Linked DNA regions of Tamandua tetradactyla. The protein of the gene in region 1 interacts with the protein of each later gene in a pairwise test. Links are inferred from orthologs where the notes say so. Each region holds a gene or a part of one and is shown on either strand. Other genes may lie near its edges.

Region 1 (7,753 bases):
ACTGCAATGAGTAAAGACTATGGATAAAAATAAACAAATAAAAGGGGGACAAAGGTTAAAATAAATTTAGTAGATTGAACTACTAGTGGTCAATGAGAGGGAAGAGTAAGGGGTATGGCATGTGTGAGTATTTTCTTTCTTATTTCTTTTGCTGGAGAGATGCAAATGTTCAAAAAATGATCATGGTGATGAATACACAACTATATGATGATACTGTGATCCACTGATTGTACACCATGTATACAATGTTTGCATGTTTGTTTTTTGTAGGAAGCTCTGGCAACCCTGGACAGTAGCTGAGTAACCGCAGATTCCAGGTGCCCCAGTCCCCACCAATCTCTGTTGTCTCTTACACCCAGTCTGCTTTACCCACTGGCACTACCTGTCTGGTCCCAACAAATGTTTGTTTGCAACCCCCTCGTGCCTCTCCAGCCTCACTTCTTGTTACATGACCTTCTCCCAAACCCTACATTCAGCTCCAGCCACAATGTGCTACTTTCAGATCCTTGATGCACCTAATTCTCTCATGTCTCTAGGCCTTTGCAGATGCTGCTTCCTCTACCTGGAATACCACCTCCGGCCCTGGATAACTTCAATAATTCCCAAGCCCTAACCCAGAGGACCCTTCCTGCAGGAAGCCTGCACTGATGCCCACCTTCCCCTAAAACTACTCTGTACTTCCCCAGCAAGTCTTTACTCTTATTGATTAGTCTATGATACATTTGTCTCTTTACTTCTCCGTCCATCTACTTTGGGTTGGAAATCCCAAAACGACAGGAACTGGGTTTTCTCATTAGCTGTGGAACCTCTAGTGCCTAGCATGAAAATTATCTCAATATTGCCAGAAGCATTACATTCTGCCTGAACTTCCACTCTTTTCCTTGTAAAGTAAAACTGTGATGTCCTACGAACACCCAACTCCCTGGTATGGACACACAGACCAAAGATTACAAATGTGTTTCATCTGGTTCTTGCCAAAATATATATCTGAATTAGTGCCAATACTAAAAAATCTGTACATACACAAATCTTCATTTCTAGCCTGTACAATCAAAATATTTGGTCACGCAAGAGCAGGAGTTGTGCAAGGCAATACCCAGTAAGGGTGAGCAGCAGCCTGCTTTTCAGAAGGGGCTGCCCCAAATAGCCCCCTGGCCCTTTGCTGATTTGCATGGCCCGCTTGGCTCCTGGAGGCAGCCAGTTCCAGATCCTTGCTCTAGCTTGGCTGCTGAGGCAGAAATCACCACCATCCCAGGAGGACAGGGATTATTCTAGGGAGAGATTTCTGGGGGAAAGGACCCTCAGCCTGTGGCCTTCTCCACTGTGCACCCACTCTGAGAGCTCTTTATCTTAGCACAGTCCTCAGAAGTTACCATTTGCTGACAACATGCTCTGCCTCCAGATCATGGATGAATGACAGATGTGGAAATAAGAGGCCACCCCTGCCCTGCTTTTTCTAACATTTAAACAGCACTGCAGCTGTATTTTTAGTACTTGCCTTCTACCAGAGCAGAGAAGTAGAGACCCACTTCCCGGACATCAGTCCCAGGCTAGGGATACACAGCTCTGTTTCTTTGTCTGGATCCATTTGCTGCCACCACCTTCTCTGGGTCCCGACTTGGTGCTGGCCTCTGGGGGAGTCAGGAAGCAGGTATTTCCCTTTTAGCAGTTCACAATACAGTGGGAAATGGCTTCCTGCCAACGACTATCCCATGTTCGCATTCAATCATCGCTCATCTAATCATTCAAAACCTCTACTGGATGCCTACTGGGTGCCAGGCCATCTGGACGTGTCATAGTCTTAATGGTCCCTTTGCTTGACACACCGGCCTTCTCTGTGTGATGCTCAGTTCAAACACTACTTCTTTGTCTAGCTTTCCCAGGCCCTTCACCACCCTGCCAGTTGGCTGGGTCCTCTTGCGTGTTCCAACCCTGTCCTGACTGCCCTTATTGTCAAGCTACTTGTTGTACTGTATCACTAACATCTGCATATGCTTCTCAAGGACAAGGACTGTGTCCTGTTCACCACACTATACTTCTCCACCAAGACACAGTCTGCTGGCAAAAATTATCATTTGATTGAACAAATCAGTGATTATCCAGGGAAGAGCTCTGTTCTGAGGTGTCACAAGACAGGCGAAACACTGCTGGCATCCACGAGCAGGAATCTGGGCCTTTTGCAATGCTCAGCACAGTTCCCCACAACAAATTGTCCTCTGTCCTGCACAACTTTCAAAGGTCCTGCAAGAGCTTCATGTCAGCAAAAAGACCTAACACCTGTTTATATATAAATACAGTAAACTATTTCCCAGTTTTAATATATACTGTATTACTCAGGAATGCACATAACACGTTAGTTAAGGGAAGTACTACTTGGCCTTGTTCACCTTTCTGGAAAATGCCTGTTCACCCTGCTCACCAGTTGGGTCCACCGGCCCATGTCTGTATTCATAGCTTACACAGTGATTCCCGCTTGGTACAAATACACTTAGTATTTGATTCAAAATTCCAAATATGAAACGTTGACAATTTTTACGTGAACGCTGTCTTATATTAAGACCACACTTCCTCATTGTAAGTACAAGCATCTTTTGAAGTAACCCTGCCTGAGCCTTTACACAGAGAAATATTGTCTTCCGCTGCAAATTAGTTTATTTTCTCCTTTATACTAAAGACAGGATATTGCACTGACTTTCTCTCCAGGGTGAACCCTCGCCTCTGCCGCTATCTTCGGGCCACCCCGCCCCGTGCCACTATCGCCCGCTTTGCGACCCAACAACCAGCCACAAACTCCACACCGCTAGAGCGCCGGTGAGAGCCCAGAAATTCCGAAGGCCTGTCCTCCACCCCCGGCCTCGGTTTCTCCATCTGTCATACCGCTCAGCCATCCCCAAGTGAGCCCCATACCGACCCCTTCGCCGCTCTAACACCCGGGAACCCGAGGGAGCCGGCTGCAAGTAGCACCTCCCGGCACCATGGCTACGCCGCCTGCGCTGAGATCTCTCCAGACCTCGCGCGAGAGCAGCGCATCTAGGGCGCATGCGCCGCGGCGGGCGGCTCCCAGGGTGCCCCGCGGCGGCGGAGCAGAGAGTGGCGGGCGCTTCGCGGTGTGTTTTCTCGGCCGGGTGTGTTACAACCGCCCACCCGGCCTCACTCTTTCTCCAGGCGTCCGTGGCCAGCGGCGGCATCTACCAGAAGGGATCAGGTAAAGCAGTAGGGTAACGCAGGCTCGGACGCGCTCTGAGGTCCCTCTTTGCGGGATGGCAGGCGACACAGGTCAAATAGTGCCTTAAAGGCCCAGGTTTCACTTCGTCTCCCCACGGCCTTGGCCCCCTACGGCCATTTTATGGTTCCTGAAGGAAGGAGGGCGCGGTTGATCCGCCCCCTTCTGACAGATTAGATTCTGTACAAAGGCAGCTAGGGGAGGGGAGGAGGGCTGAGTCGACGCCTGCGCTCTCCTCTGCTTGTTGCTTTTTCTGAAAAGGAATCCCTCTCGCCCCCTACGTCACCGTCCCACCCACCCTTTTCCCCACCTTTTTCTTATCTGGCTTTGACTCTTGACTGATTGTTGAACTGAAGTTGCCTTGTTCTACTCCACGCAAATTCACTCTGGGAACCAACCCAGAAGTGACTAATTGGACCCCTGCTGCCGGGCAGACCACAGCGAAATCGGGCTCGCTGCCCATTATAAAGGACGTAGGCACTGAGTCAGGGGGGTACGGAGAAAGGCTAGGACTACCAAGAGGTCTCCTGCAGAAGGCAGGTGGCTCTGGCCAAACAGTGAAGGATGGAGGATTCCCATAGGTGGGAGTGGAGGGTGCTTGTACAGGGATAGGGAGACCCAGGTTGAAGAGTCCAGCTGTCTCCTGGAAACCACCTCCCCCAGGTCATCTAGACTGAACTCATTTTTCTTCCCCTCTGGATTCCACGGTGGCTCCACTAACCCCATCCCCTGGGCTGGGCCAGAAATCTGGAAATTATCCTCACGTCCTGCCTTTCCCTCTTGAAGCCATTTCCAGCTCTTGCCCTCAGAATAAATCTCTAACGTTAATTTGACTTTCAAAGCTCCTTGACCTGACTTCTGGTAATGTCACCAGTCTCAATTCCTCATTCTTCTACACTCATACCCTGCATTTCATTCATTCCACAATGCTTGCTCACCCTGCTCTTTCATGTCTTGATGCTTTTCCAGGTGCTCTTTCCTCTGTCTTGAATGCCATTTGTGCCTTCACCCTCCCCCTTGTACTCTTCTTCAGTTCGCTGCCTTTCCCAATGCCCCCAACACCCATCCGCAGAAGTAGACACGCCTCCTGTCTCTAGATCACAGCGTGTCATCTGTTCACCCATTCATCACACATTCCACAAACATTAAGCACTGACTGTGAGCAGTGCCTTTTGTATTTCCTTTGGTTGGGTTTCCTCTGTGTTATATGTTTGCCAGACTCCATCACTGGTCAGGGAATGTCTCACTCATTTCTGAATCCCCAGTGCCTGGGCATCCGGTTAAGGAGTGGGAAAGCAAAAGCCTAAAGACACGGTCTTTTTTTTTTCCCATTTCCCCGTTGTTTTCAGTCAATAAGTAGAAAGTCTTTGAAGAAAAACCCCAGGGCTGGGAGGAGGAGAAAATGCTGCTCTCATGAGGTAGGTTGAAACATTGGCCCCTACCGTCTGACTGAGAGAGCTTCCTCAGTTCTGTGCTGGGACTTTCTGCAGTTGGTGCTTCTGAAAGGAAAAGAATCTGTACAACCCTTCACCCCCAAAGGAATTTTCCTCTCCTACAGAATTTTCCAGAATGTTCATACCTGAGCTTCTGTACTTTTTTATATAAGTGATAACATTTACAGCAAAATAGCAATCAGATCCTGAGAGATCAGCTGGGCTAAAAGGGGGCCTTCAGCCTCCATCTTTGTATTTGAAATCAGAGTACTCTTTGGAACATTTTGTTCCATGAAGGTTTGGGACTCCCACTTGTTCCTGTGGACAACTCATCCATTCTTCATTAGAAGGTGTGTGGGAGGGAAGCGTGGGTTAGAGTGTCAGAAGAATAGCTCCTGGAAGGCCAAATAAGCCCAGGGATATGTTGAATTGGAAAGGAAGAGGCTGTTGCTAGGCCACCAGCATGTTGCTAGGCCTTTTCTCCATCAGGGCTGTGCTGTATCCTGGGAAAAAAGCTGTAGTTCAAGGAATGCAAATGCCCCCAAACCCAGGGACAGAGGAGATGGGGCAGGAACAAGGACTTTGGAGACCGGCAGGACTAGGTTGAAACTGACATTGCCTCCTGCTTGTGAGGGCAAGACCCTTTTGAGTTTCATTTCTTCCTTTGTAATGTGGGATAACAATATTGCATCACAAACTTATGGTGGAGATTAAAAAATTTTTGTAAAAGAGATAAGGTATGTAGGGCAAGTATTTAGCACAGTAGCCCAAAATAAGCACTCAGTAAACGTCAGCTGTGGTTCCTTGATTCAACAAACATTACTGAGCACCTAAGTCTCACTACCGTGCTAGGTCCCAGCAATACAGCAGTGAACAAAAGAAAAATTGTTCTCCGTGAAGAGTGTACATATTAGTAAGAGAAAACACACTGTAAGGTGGTGGTACATGCTGGAGAGAAAGATAAGGCAGGATGGAGAGTAGTGAGGAGAGTGTCAGAGGACCAGTGGGGATGAGGGGACATTTGAGTAATGGCCATAAGGAGATGAAGTGCCACAGGTATCAAGGGAAAGAATATTCCATGTGAGGGCACAGCCATGCAAAGGCCCTGCGTGCCTATTATGTTTGGAGAACAGCTGATTGGTGGGACTGAAGTGAGTAGACCAGAAGGGGAGGCAGTTGGGAGGCAGGCCTGAGAATAGTGGGAGGACTAGATTCTGTGGGGCTTTGCAGGCTGTGGTGAGGATATTGGCATTTACTCTAGTGCGATGGGAGCCACTGGAGAATTTTGAGCAGAGGAGTGACATGGGCTCTCTTTTTTTTTTTTCCTGCAACTGAAAATTTTATCAAGATATATTTACACACCATATAATCCATCCAAAGTATGGAATCAGTGTCTCACAATATCATCACCCAGTTGAGCAGTCATCATCACAATCAATTTTAGAACATTTTCATTACTTCAAAAATAAGAATAACAAATAAACATTAAAAAAGAAAACCCAAGTCCAGGGGGTAGTTCTTATTCATTAATTATATGTAGGATTAGTTTTTTATTACAGAAATAAGTAGAGAAATGAACAAGAATAAGGGGGGATTATAACTGTACAACTGCTGTCATCACTAGTTAGCCCATTTCCCCTTATGACGCCTCTCGTGTCCTTAGGCCAGGCCTCTGTTTCCCTGTAGATCATACCTTCTAACTACAATGTATTAATGATAAATGTTAGGGTAGCTAATCTGTACCGCTTTACTTGTTATCTTCTGTTTTACAACAGTGCTGTAACCTGTCACTATGACTGCCTGACAATTATTTTAACTGGCTCTGGCTGACATGTTGAGACTAGACTAGAGGAGCAAGGGTGGACGCAGGGAGCCCTGGTAAGAAGCAGTGGCAATGCCGTTACTGGCTTGGGCCGGTGTATGTAAAGCAGTCCGTACTTGCCTACACCTAGCAGGCTCCCTTTAAGCAGTTTTCTGAGACCCTGCTGTGTGGAGGGCGTACAGTGGCCCTTTACATCCATTATCACATTCTGTTCCCAGGACTGGGTATTTCTAGTCTCCAATGAGGAAACTAGTTCTTAGAGAGGTAAAGCCACTAATCCAGTTCTCCAACAGGTTTTTCCTTGCTGTAACAGGAAGGCTGTTGATAGAAATAGCTTCACGCAGAGAAGGAACCAGAAACCAGAGACCTGGGCCCTTGGTTCTTGTAGAAATAAGCTCTTTGCCTGGCTGCAGTCTCTGGTTTTAGCTGGGCCTGGCCTTCAGGGGGCCCACTTCAAGGAGCAAAATGCAGTTTCCACCTCCTTGAGCACTGTGGGCCCTCCAGATATCTGGGCGATGTGTGGATAAAGATGATCACTCAGCCCTCCAACCTGGCCCAGGGCTGGGGTCGAAAGCAGACACCCAGTTCACCCTTCCCTCCCTGACAAGAGTACCTTAAAAGGAAACTGCTTGGGAAATCCCTAAAGGGAAGGGATAGTTAAGGATGGAGACCTGGGGGAAAGCAGTCCAAGCCAATATGGGGTCAGGGTCAGCTCTTACCTGCAAGCGAAGTGCTGCCACAGTCCTCTAGCCACTGCTGAGAGAGTCTGTTTCCCTCCCTGGGAGCTGGTGACCTTGTTGTCCCAGCTGGATTCCTGTTGGTCAGCTGCCTGCCCTGGGCAGAATGGTGCCCGCCCCCGATCACTGACTCACTTTGAAATGGGAAGGAGGCCCAGGTAAGGCTCCTTGGCTGGGTCAATGGGGCAGGTTGCCAGGCCCAGAGAAGAGGTTTGGCCTTAATCTAGACTTGGAGGTGGGGTCAGGGAGGCACACAGCTGCTGCTGAGATAGATAGGTGCCAGGACTTCTTAATCTTTCCATGAATTTGGATTGAACACTCAGTCCTGCTAAGCACAGGGAAGACAGTTAACGGGAGGTTGGTTTGATGCATATCGGGGTCTTAAAAATGGCCATACCCCAGAAGATCTGAAAGCATATCTTTTGCTTTCATTGGCACACCAGTGTTAGAAGTAGCACTCTTTGCGCTTGCCAAAAGGTGGAAATAATCCAAATGTCCATCAGCTGATGAATGGATAAACAAAATGTGGTATATGCAT
Region 2 (8,090 bases), on another chromosome or scaffold:
ATTAAGGGATTGAGAAAATCTCTGGACCAAAAGGGGAAGAGTGAAATGAGACAAAGTGTCAATGGCTGAGAGATTCCAAACACAGTGGAGGGGTTATCCTGGAGGTTATTCTTATGCATTAAGTAGATATCACCTTGTTATTCAAGATGTAGTGGAGAGGCTGGAGGGAATGGCCTGAAAATGTAGAGCTGTGTTCCAGTAGCCATGTTTCTTGATGATGATTGTATAATGATATAGCTTTCCCAATGTGACTGTGATCGTGAAAACCTTGTGTCTGATGCTCCTTTTATCTACCTTGTCGACAGACAAGTAGAACATATGGAATAAAAATAAATAGGGGGAACAAATGTTAAAATAAATTCAGTTTGAAATACTAGTGATCAATGAAAGGGAGGGGTATGGGGTATGGTATGCATAATTTCTTTTTGTTTTCATTTTCTTTTTTTGTTGTCTTTTTATTTCTTTTTCTGAACTGATGCAAATGTTCTAAGAAATGATCATGATGATGAATATACAACTATGTGATGATATTGTGAATTACTGATTAAATATGTAGAATGGAATGAGCATATGTTAAGAAGGTTTGAGTTTCTTTCTTATAATTTTTTTTTAATTAAAAAAAAAAAACCTGATGCCTCACATTCAGCTTCTCTCCACAATTAATCCAGTTCCAAATTCAATTCTTAGGAAAGAATTGGAATAGTTTTTCGCTTTCTAGCCTCTTCCGTAAGAGAAGGCACACTAGAAGCAGGAACGTGTTTTGAGCCAGCCAAATCCACAATATTTGCCAAACTTGTACTAAACAGCCTAGTGTTGCTGGGGGAAAAAAAAGTATAATCTCCAATCTCCAATGGGTCCTTAACTCTGCCTGGTAATCCTACATTTCTCTAGTAAACACATTCTCCCACACTCTACAATGACTTTCAAATCTTCTTCAATCTACTCAAACCTCTAACCTACTCTCACTCTAAGCATAAAATTCCACCTCTCACTTTACAAAGAAAATAAAAGCCATGAGAAAACAATTCATCTTACCAGTACCAAACATACAATCTCTATCTATACCTTCATTTCCTCCTTCCCTTCTGTTAAATGGATAATGAATCCATCTTCCTAAGGCTGCTTTCTCCACCTATACTTTGGATCCCATCCCCTCCCACCTTCTCAGAAATTTTACGCTATTGGTGACCCAATTTCTCTCTTGAATATTCAACTCTGTCCTCTCAATTGGATCCTTGGTAACTCCTCATCCCCTTTAGCTACCACATCCTCTCTAAAATAATGTCTAGATTGATTGCCTGGATCCTTGTCTCATATCTGGCTTCCATCACAAAATAACTCTTGCCAAGGTTACCAAGAACTTCATAATAAAGACAACAGACTTTTTTTGATCCTCATGCTATTTAAATTCTGACACAGATCATTCCCTTACTTCTAAAAGAATATTCCTCTCGTTCTCTTGTAGGTTCATCCTCCTGTTCTTGGCCACTAAATGTTGGAACTTCCCAAGGCTCTGACCCATGTGATCTTACCCACACATACTACTTAATTATCACCTAGATTACTCCCAAATCTACTATGTTCAACACAAGCATGGCTTCTGCGCTCCAAAGTTCAACTGCCTCCTAGATGTCACAAATGAATCCCTCCATAAAAAACCCAAGGAACAAAACTAACAAACTAGTTTCTAGTCATTTTCTAGCGTTCCATTGAACACTACAAGATATTCTAATGCCTCACTGAATGGTACTGCTACGTATTCAGCTGCATGAGAAACCTAGGGCTTATCTTTGCTTCCTCTCTCTTAAGTTTCAGGAATCCAACCCATCACCAGTCCTAACCATTTTACCTCCTATATATCTCTAGAATCTGTTCAATTCTCCACAGGTCCACCAAGATATGTCAGTCCTCATTGCCAATTATCTCTCACCAGGACCACTGCAGAACCTAAGTCGTCTATCTGAATTCACTACGGCTCACCTTCAATCTGTTCACACCACTGAGACAAAGGGGTCAAGCCACCGCCCCTTCCACACATACAGCCCCCCCCACCCACCCAAAAAACCAACCCTCAGTGATTCCCATCTCATCTTAAGATAAAAGCTACAGATCTCTGCAGGGCCTAACCTTCTAACCGCCTCCAATTTCATCTTGTACCACTCTCCCCTCGTTATCTTTGAAGCAGTCACACTGGCCTCTTTGTGCCTTTTGTCAGTCACCCATGTAATGCTGTGGCTTCCTCTCTTCACCTAATTATTTGGAATTCAGCTCAGGCATCTCTTTCTCAGAAAAGGCTTCCTGCATATTTAAGCACTCAAAGCGTCAGATAGCTGTCCGAGGTAGCACTTATTTTACATTAACTAAAGAGATGTTAGATTGTTTAACATCTGTTTTCTCCACCAGACTCAATCTCCCTGACGTCAGGGACTATTTGATTCACAACGTCTCCCAAACGCACAATAAATATTAGTTGAATGATTGAGAAGAGGACCTAGTTCACAGATGTGAGTCTCAAGCTTCTCAATATAACTGCGCTCTCGAGAAGCAGAAGGCGGATATTTTCTTCATCTGTCTCTCTCAGCGGCATAGGGGAGACTCTAATGAAAGACTGTACAGTCAGTTGCAGAAACAAGCCTCACCTCCTCAGACAGGGAGTCTAGGAGACAGGCCTTATCTTCCTGGGAGCGCCCCACACATGACTGGACACAAGTGGGCGATTATCCAAGTCAGTCGTCGAGGTCCCTCCAACACCCCACCCGGCAGCTACAGGGTCTGGGTCCTGCCGCCAGACAGCCCAAACCTCGGCTCCCGCCAGGAAGGAGAGCCCATGCTACTACTTACCAGGGATAGAAATCAGGACCCTCAACTGAGAAGGGCCATGCTCAAACCCCACAACCAAAACGCTGCCTCCAGACTCGGGTAGCCACCCCCTAGCTTCCTTATACTTACTCGGCGTCAAGTAGAAGACAGCCAGCCACGCCATTGCGCGAAAAGCCGAACCCAGTCGGCGCGTTTATACCCACAAGACACAGCGCGCGTAGGCGGGACTCCAGGTTCATCCGCCAACCCTGAAGTCGGGCATTCGTGATGTTAGGAAGAGCTGCCCAATAACAAGAGACTATCCCGAAAGCGACGCAGCCTATTGGGAGATGATTGGGTTCTCCAAGCCGGAAGTTCTAAAGGAAAGGCTAAGTTCGAGCCAATCGCGCTGTGTGGAAGCGTGCCGCCTCGGTCCCTACTGGCACTGAGAGGAGCGGCTGCCGCCATGATAGAACAGCAGAAGCGCAAGGGCCCTGAGTTACCACTTGTCCCAGTCAAGCGGCAGCGGCATGAGTTGCTTTTGGGAGCGGCGGGGTCGGGCCCCGGAACCGGGCAGCAGCAGACGACGCCAGGAGCTTTGCTGCAAGCGGTAAGAAAAGGAACAGGTGGCCTTCGCTGCTCGGCTTCTCTTGCTCTCTCCTCAGAGCGCCACACCGAGTGATGCCGCATTGCGGGAGAGGAACGAGAATATTGACCTGGAGTTAAACTCTTTAAAAGCGCCCTATACCCTACAGATGCTCGATACGTGTTCCCGCGTTTGATGCCCTTTTTCAGCATCTCGACCGCCCTGGAGGTGGCAGTAGAATTGGAATGAAGAGCCATAGGCTCATAGCTGGCCTCAGGGCCGCGGCTTAGGCTTCCAAAGTTTTCCAGGGATCCGGGATAGAATAAACATTTGGTAGAAATTTGTAGAGTGAATAAATGCGTGAGTGAGTGAAGGGAGAATGCGATGAAATGAATGTTATTGGCTCCCTTAGGGACCGGGCAAGTTGGTTTCCCTCTTTCAGCTTCCCTTTATTTCTCTGTACTAATATTATGAACTGGATAGTACAGTTAGTATTCATGGAGCCCTTGTGCTGAGTGCCTTGTGTATGTGATATCCATTCATCTTGGTAACAGCCTAGGAGTTAGGAACTATTATCCCATTTTGCAAATGGAACAACAAACTCTTATCAAATAAAGTGATGGAAATAGATCTTGAACCCAGGCAGTCTGACTCCACAATCCATGCTCTTAACTGCTCTTGTAACGTGAAGAAGTAGTGGCCACTTCTCCTCTGCTGCTGTGAGAATCAGATGAAAGAATATATGTACTCTCTTTTTTTTTTTTTTCAAACCCTCAACCAACCCATCAGCGAATCCTGCCAGAATTGCTATTTCTATCATCTCTATTGCTTCCTCTTGGTCTAAGCTATTATTTGTCTCATCTGAGATTTTGCAGTATGGTCCTAATCAGTCTTGACTGTTTCAGCTCCTGCTTTCTACAATCTGTTCTCAGTCCAGCTTTCCATTTCACTCAGAGTAAAAACCAAAAACTTCACAATCTTTTGCCCACTTTTCCCTCTACCTCTCTGATACATCAATCTTCTTTCCTTGCTCTGGTCTCTATGCTCCTGCCTCAGTGCCTTTGCATTTGCTCATCCCTTTGTCAGCATGTTCTTCTAAATGCTTGCATGGTTTACACTCTCAGCTCTTCAGTTTTGTGTAAATATCACTTTTTCCGTGAGTTCTTTCCCGACCACAGTATTTTAAATTGCAATATCCCATACTCTCTATCCCACATTCCTCCTGTTTTTCCCTATTGTACATACCATTGTATGTAATATATATATATTTTAAACTTTTCTCTTTCCCATTCCACCAGAATGTAAACTCTATTGATTTTATTCACAGATGTTTTTGCAGTTCCTGGGCACATATTTTTTTTAATGAATAAATAAGCTGGAAACCACTGAAGAGATGTGGAGATTATTGTTAGTGTGCCTGTTCTTCCTACCAACAAATTAGAGCATCAGCCCAGGTTTAGAAAGTGAATTGCTCAAGCCTAGGCTTTGTGTCCAGGGCCATAATCAAATCCTACTTTCTGCAGGAGTCCCTACCCTGCAGGGTTGTTGTTAAGCTCAGTTCTGTCGTTCACTCATTAAATGCACCAGACATTGGGAAAAGATTGTTGAATGACACAGGCAAAGTCCCTGCAGTCATGGAGCTACTGTTCTAGTGTGAGAAGCAGACGAAATATATAAACAAATATATGAGAAAGGTAATTTCAGATGGTGATTAAGGAATATGGATGTGTGTGTGTGTGTGTGTGTGTGTGTGTGTGTGTGTGTGTGTATGGAATATATATATAAGGAATCACCTTATATTAATATATAAAGTGGTATGTACTGTATGAAGTACAGTAGGTGATTGGAATACAGGTGGGGAAGAGTCAGGGGAAACTACAAATGCAAAGATCCTGCAACAGAAATAAGTTTAATGTTTGAATAATAGAAATGTTGGCTATGGGACAGCAGCAGAGGGAGGGAGAGAAAGAATTAATGTAGCAGGTGATCATTGGAATGTTCAACAGAAGAGTATCGTATTGAGACATGACAAACCATGAACCAAGTATAAAAAAGTTTTTTGCAGCAAAAAAAAAAAAAAAGAGGCATGCATGATGTGAAAAGAGCTGAAATCCATTCCATCCATCGTTTTCTCTTCTCCCTCTCTCTCTCTTCCTACTCCCCGCCACCACCCTCAAATTTTTCAGCCTCCTTTGCTTATATACAGTGAGTACTCTGTGTTTCTGTCTTTTGTTTAGGGGCCTCCAAGGTGTTCCTCTCTTCAAGCCCCAATCATGCTGCTCTCCGGACATGAAGGGGAAGTGTATTGTTGCAAGTTTCACCCCAATGGATCCACTTTAGCATCTGCAGGATTTGATCGACTGATATGTAAGACAGTTTTTGAATCTGATGTAATTGCACTCTACCATGTAGTGATTATTTTTTATCTGTGATCAGTGTAGATTGATTATCTCTGAAAATGAGGAAACATGACAAACTACATTGCTAACAAACTAAAGTGAGGTTGTGAGAATTCTAAATGATCTTGGGTATAGAACTTGGGGTATGTGTGGTAAATACAGAAGAGATTATATTACTAATTGGAAAGTAAGTTCTGGTTTGGGAATACCTTCCTCATATAGGCAAGTGTTGAGCTGATTTAGCAAGACGAGATCTCCAACTTTTTGTAATGAGGACAGAGAAAAGTTCTTTTCCCAAAGTTGTGAGGCCCTCCTGGGGATCCATACTCACAGTCCTAGCAAATAGGAAGGAAAGGGGATTCTAGAATAGCAACTGCCTTAGATATTATTAAGATCTATTGCCAGATTCTTAACTACCAGTCAGGAATACCCATTTTGGAAGAATAAGTAGAAATAAATCACTTTGAGGGGTCATGTGAAAAGCATAGAGAAGATAATCGAGCATTTTTTTCTTCTCTGTATTTACCCCATTATGAAATGAAATTAGTCCCTTGGCTCTTTTAGTAACTATGCATCAGGGTGGATGTTATCTGTTTTCACTGCCCATTTTGATTTAGATACTCCAGTTCTGTCATCTTTAAACTTATTGATGGCCAAGCAACTGGAAGGCATGAGATTCTGTGCACAGCATCCTTAAATTTTTTATTTAATTTCATTAAAAAAAAAATTTGTAGGGCGGGCCACAGTGGCTCAGTGGGCAGAGTTCTTACCTGCCATGCCAGAAACCCGAGTTTGATTCCCGGTGCCTGCCCATATGTTTTTTTCAAAAAAAAAAAATATGTAGTAGTTTTATCAGCAAAAAAATTTCTATTGTGTACCTTATTATGTATATAGGTGCTCCTTAATGACACTTATCAAAACTTCTGTCCATGCTAGACCAAGCTCCCTGAGAAAAGGAGCTGTGTCTATCTCCTTTACTCTAGCCACCATGCCTGCCATGTAGTAGGTGTTCAGTATATGCGGAATGAGTAGATTTAGTATAAAGCCATTGCTCTGTGACCTTGAAGTCAGTTGTGGCTTCCCAGATTTCCCAGAAGTGCCATCATTTTGCAGTCTACTTGTTCTCATAGAGTGAATGCATCTTAAAAAAAAAATTACAGGGTAAAACTGAGATTTAAAAATTATATCCATTAACTTTTTTACTTTGTGTATTATGAAAATATTGCCATTATTTTTATGTTATGGTCTGGAAAATTGGTCTAGCTGCTAGAACCAGTAGTGTCCCAAGGAAATACAATTTGAGGCCTTTTATTTTGGTGAATTCATAAGTAATCTTTTCATGTTCAGTAATGGATTTTCTTTTGCCTAGTAATTCTTATAGACCCCTGTGTCCCCAACAGTATTGTGGAATGTCTATGGTGACTGTGATAATTATGCCACACTGAAGGGACACAGTGGAGCAGTGATGGAACTGCATTATAACACAGATGGCAGGTGAGTATTCTACATAATGAAATGGCAACTGCTTTTCATACTAATTATTCTTAGCATCGTTTTACCTTTCACCCTTGAGTTTGTTCTCTCCTAGATTTTGGGTGACTACCTTATCCCAGTCACTGTCACCCCAAGTAAGGTGTTTATTGTTACATGTGTACAACTGTTAACTCTATCATTTCTCTCATCTAACATATCAACAGCCCAGACAAATCTTTTTCTTTTTAAAACATAAAGCAAAGTATAGTTTTCATATGCAGAAATTCTTTCCAATGTAAAAGTAATATATTTAAATATAAATGAAAATGTTTATATAAAATATTTTGAAAAAAAACAAAGAAGCAGAAAGAAACCTACATTCCTACCACTCCAAAGATAATCATTTATTACTATGATACATTTCCCTCAAGCCGTTTTTCTACCCAAAATAGTTTGGTTTTTAAATATTTGTTAGAGCACTATATACAATTTTATCTGCTGTTTTTTTCCCTTAACTTTATTCACCTAACATCTCTGTTTTCACAGCATTATTTTAATGACTGTATAATTATAGAATACCTATAGATAATATAAAAATGTGGTTATAGACAGTTAATTAATCCTGTCATAGAGTATTTTATTAAACATTCATTTATTTACATCTCTGGCCTGGAGAATATTAGTATGCCCTGAATCATCTGGTATAGAACCTGGCATACATGTTTCCTATTAAAAAGAAAGCATTATTAGGAAAAGTCTTAAAGAGAGAATAAAAGCTTTGGATTTTGGGGAGAGGGTAGAAGTTAAACAGATGTGAGGGCAGCATTTGCCGC

The links.
Region 2: the proteins of SDCBP2 (region 1) and ZCCHC17 interact in binary tests that used the Homo sapiens proteins (3 or more experiments, as listed by UniProt). The two-hybrid records come from large-scale screens. The link is inferred for Tamandua tetradactyla from reciprocal best matches to the Homo sapiens genes SDCBP2 and ZCCHC17.

Annotation. Positions count from the first base shown.
Region 1 is NC_135327.1:23,222,417-23,230,169, forward strand, and holds the start of SDCBP2 (syntenin-2), read right to left. Parts: upstream 3,001-7,753; 5' UTR 2,889-3,000; coding exon 2,878-2,888; intron 1,632-2,877; exon of another isoform or gene 1,499-1,631; intron 1-1,498.
Region 2 is NC_135328.1:194,559,925-194,568,014, forward strand, and holds the start of ZCCHC17 (zinc finger CCHC domain-containing protein 17), read right to left. Parts: upstream 3,031-8,090; 5' UTR 2,950-3,030; intron 1-2,949. Other genes in the region: SNRNP40 (U5 small nuclear ribonucleoprotein 40 kDa protein), read left to right, coding at 3,266-3,409, 5,623-5,752, 7,185-7,278.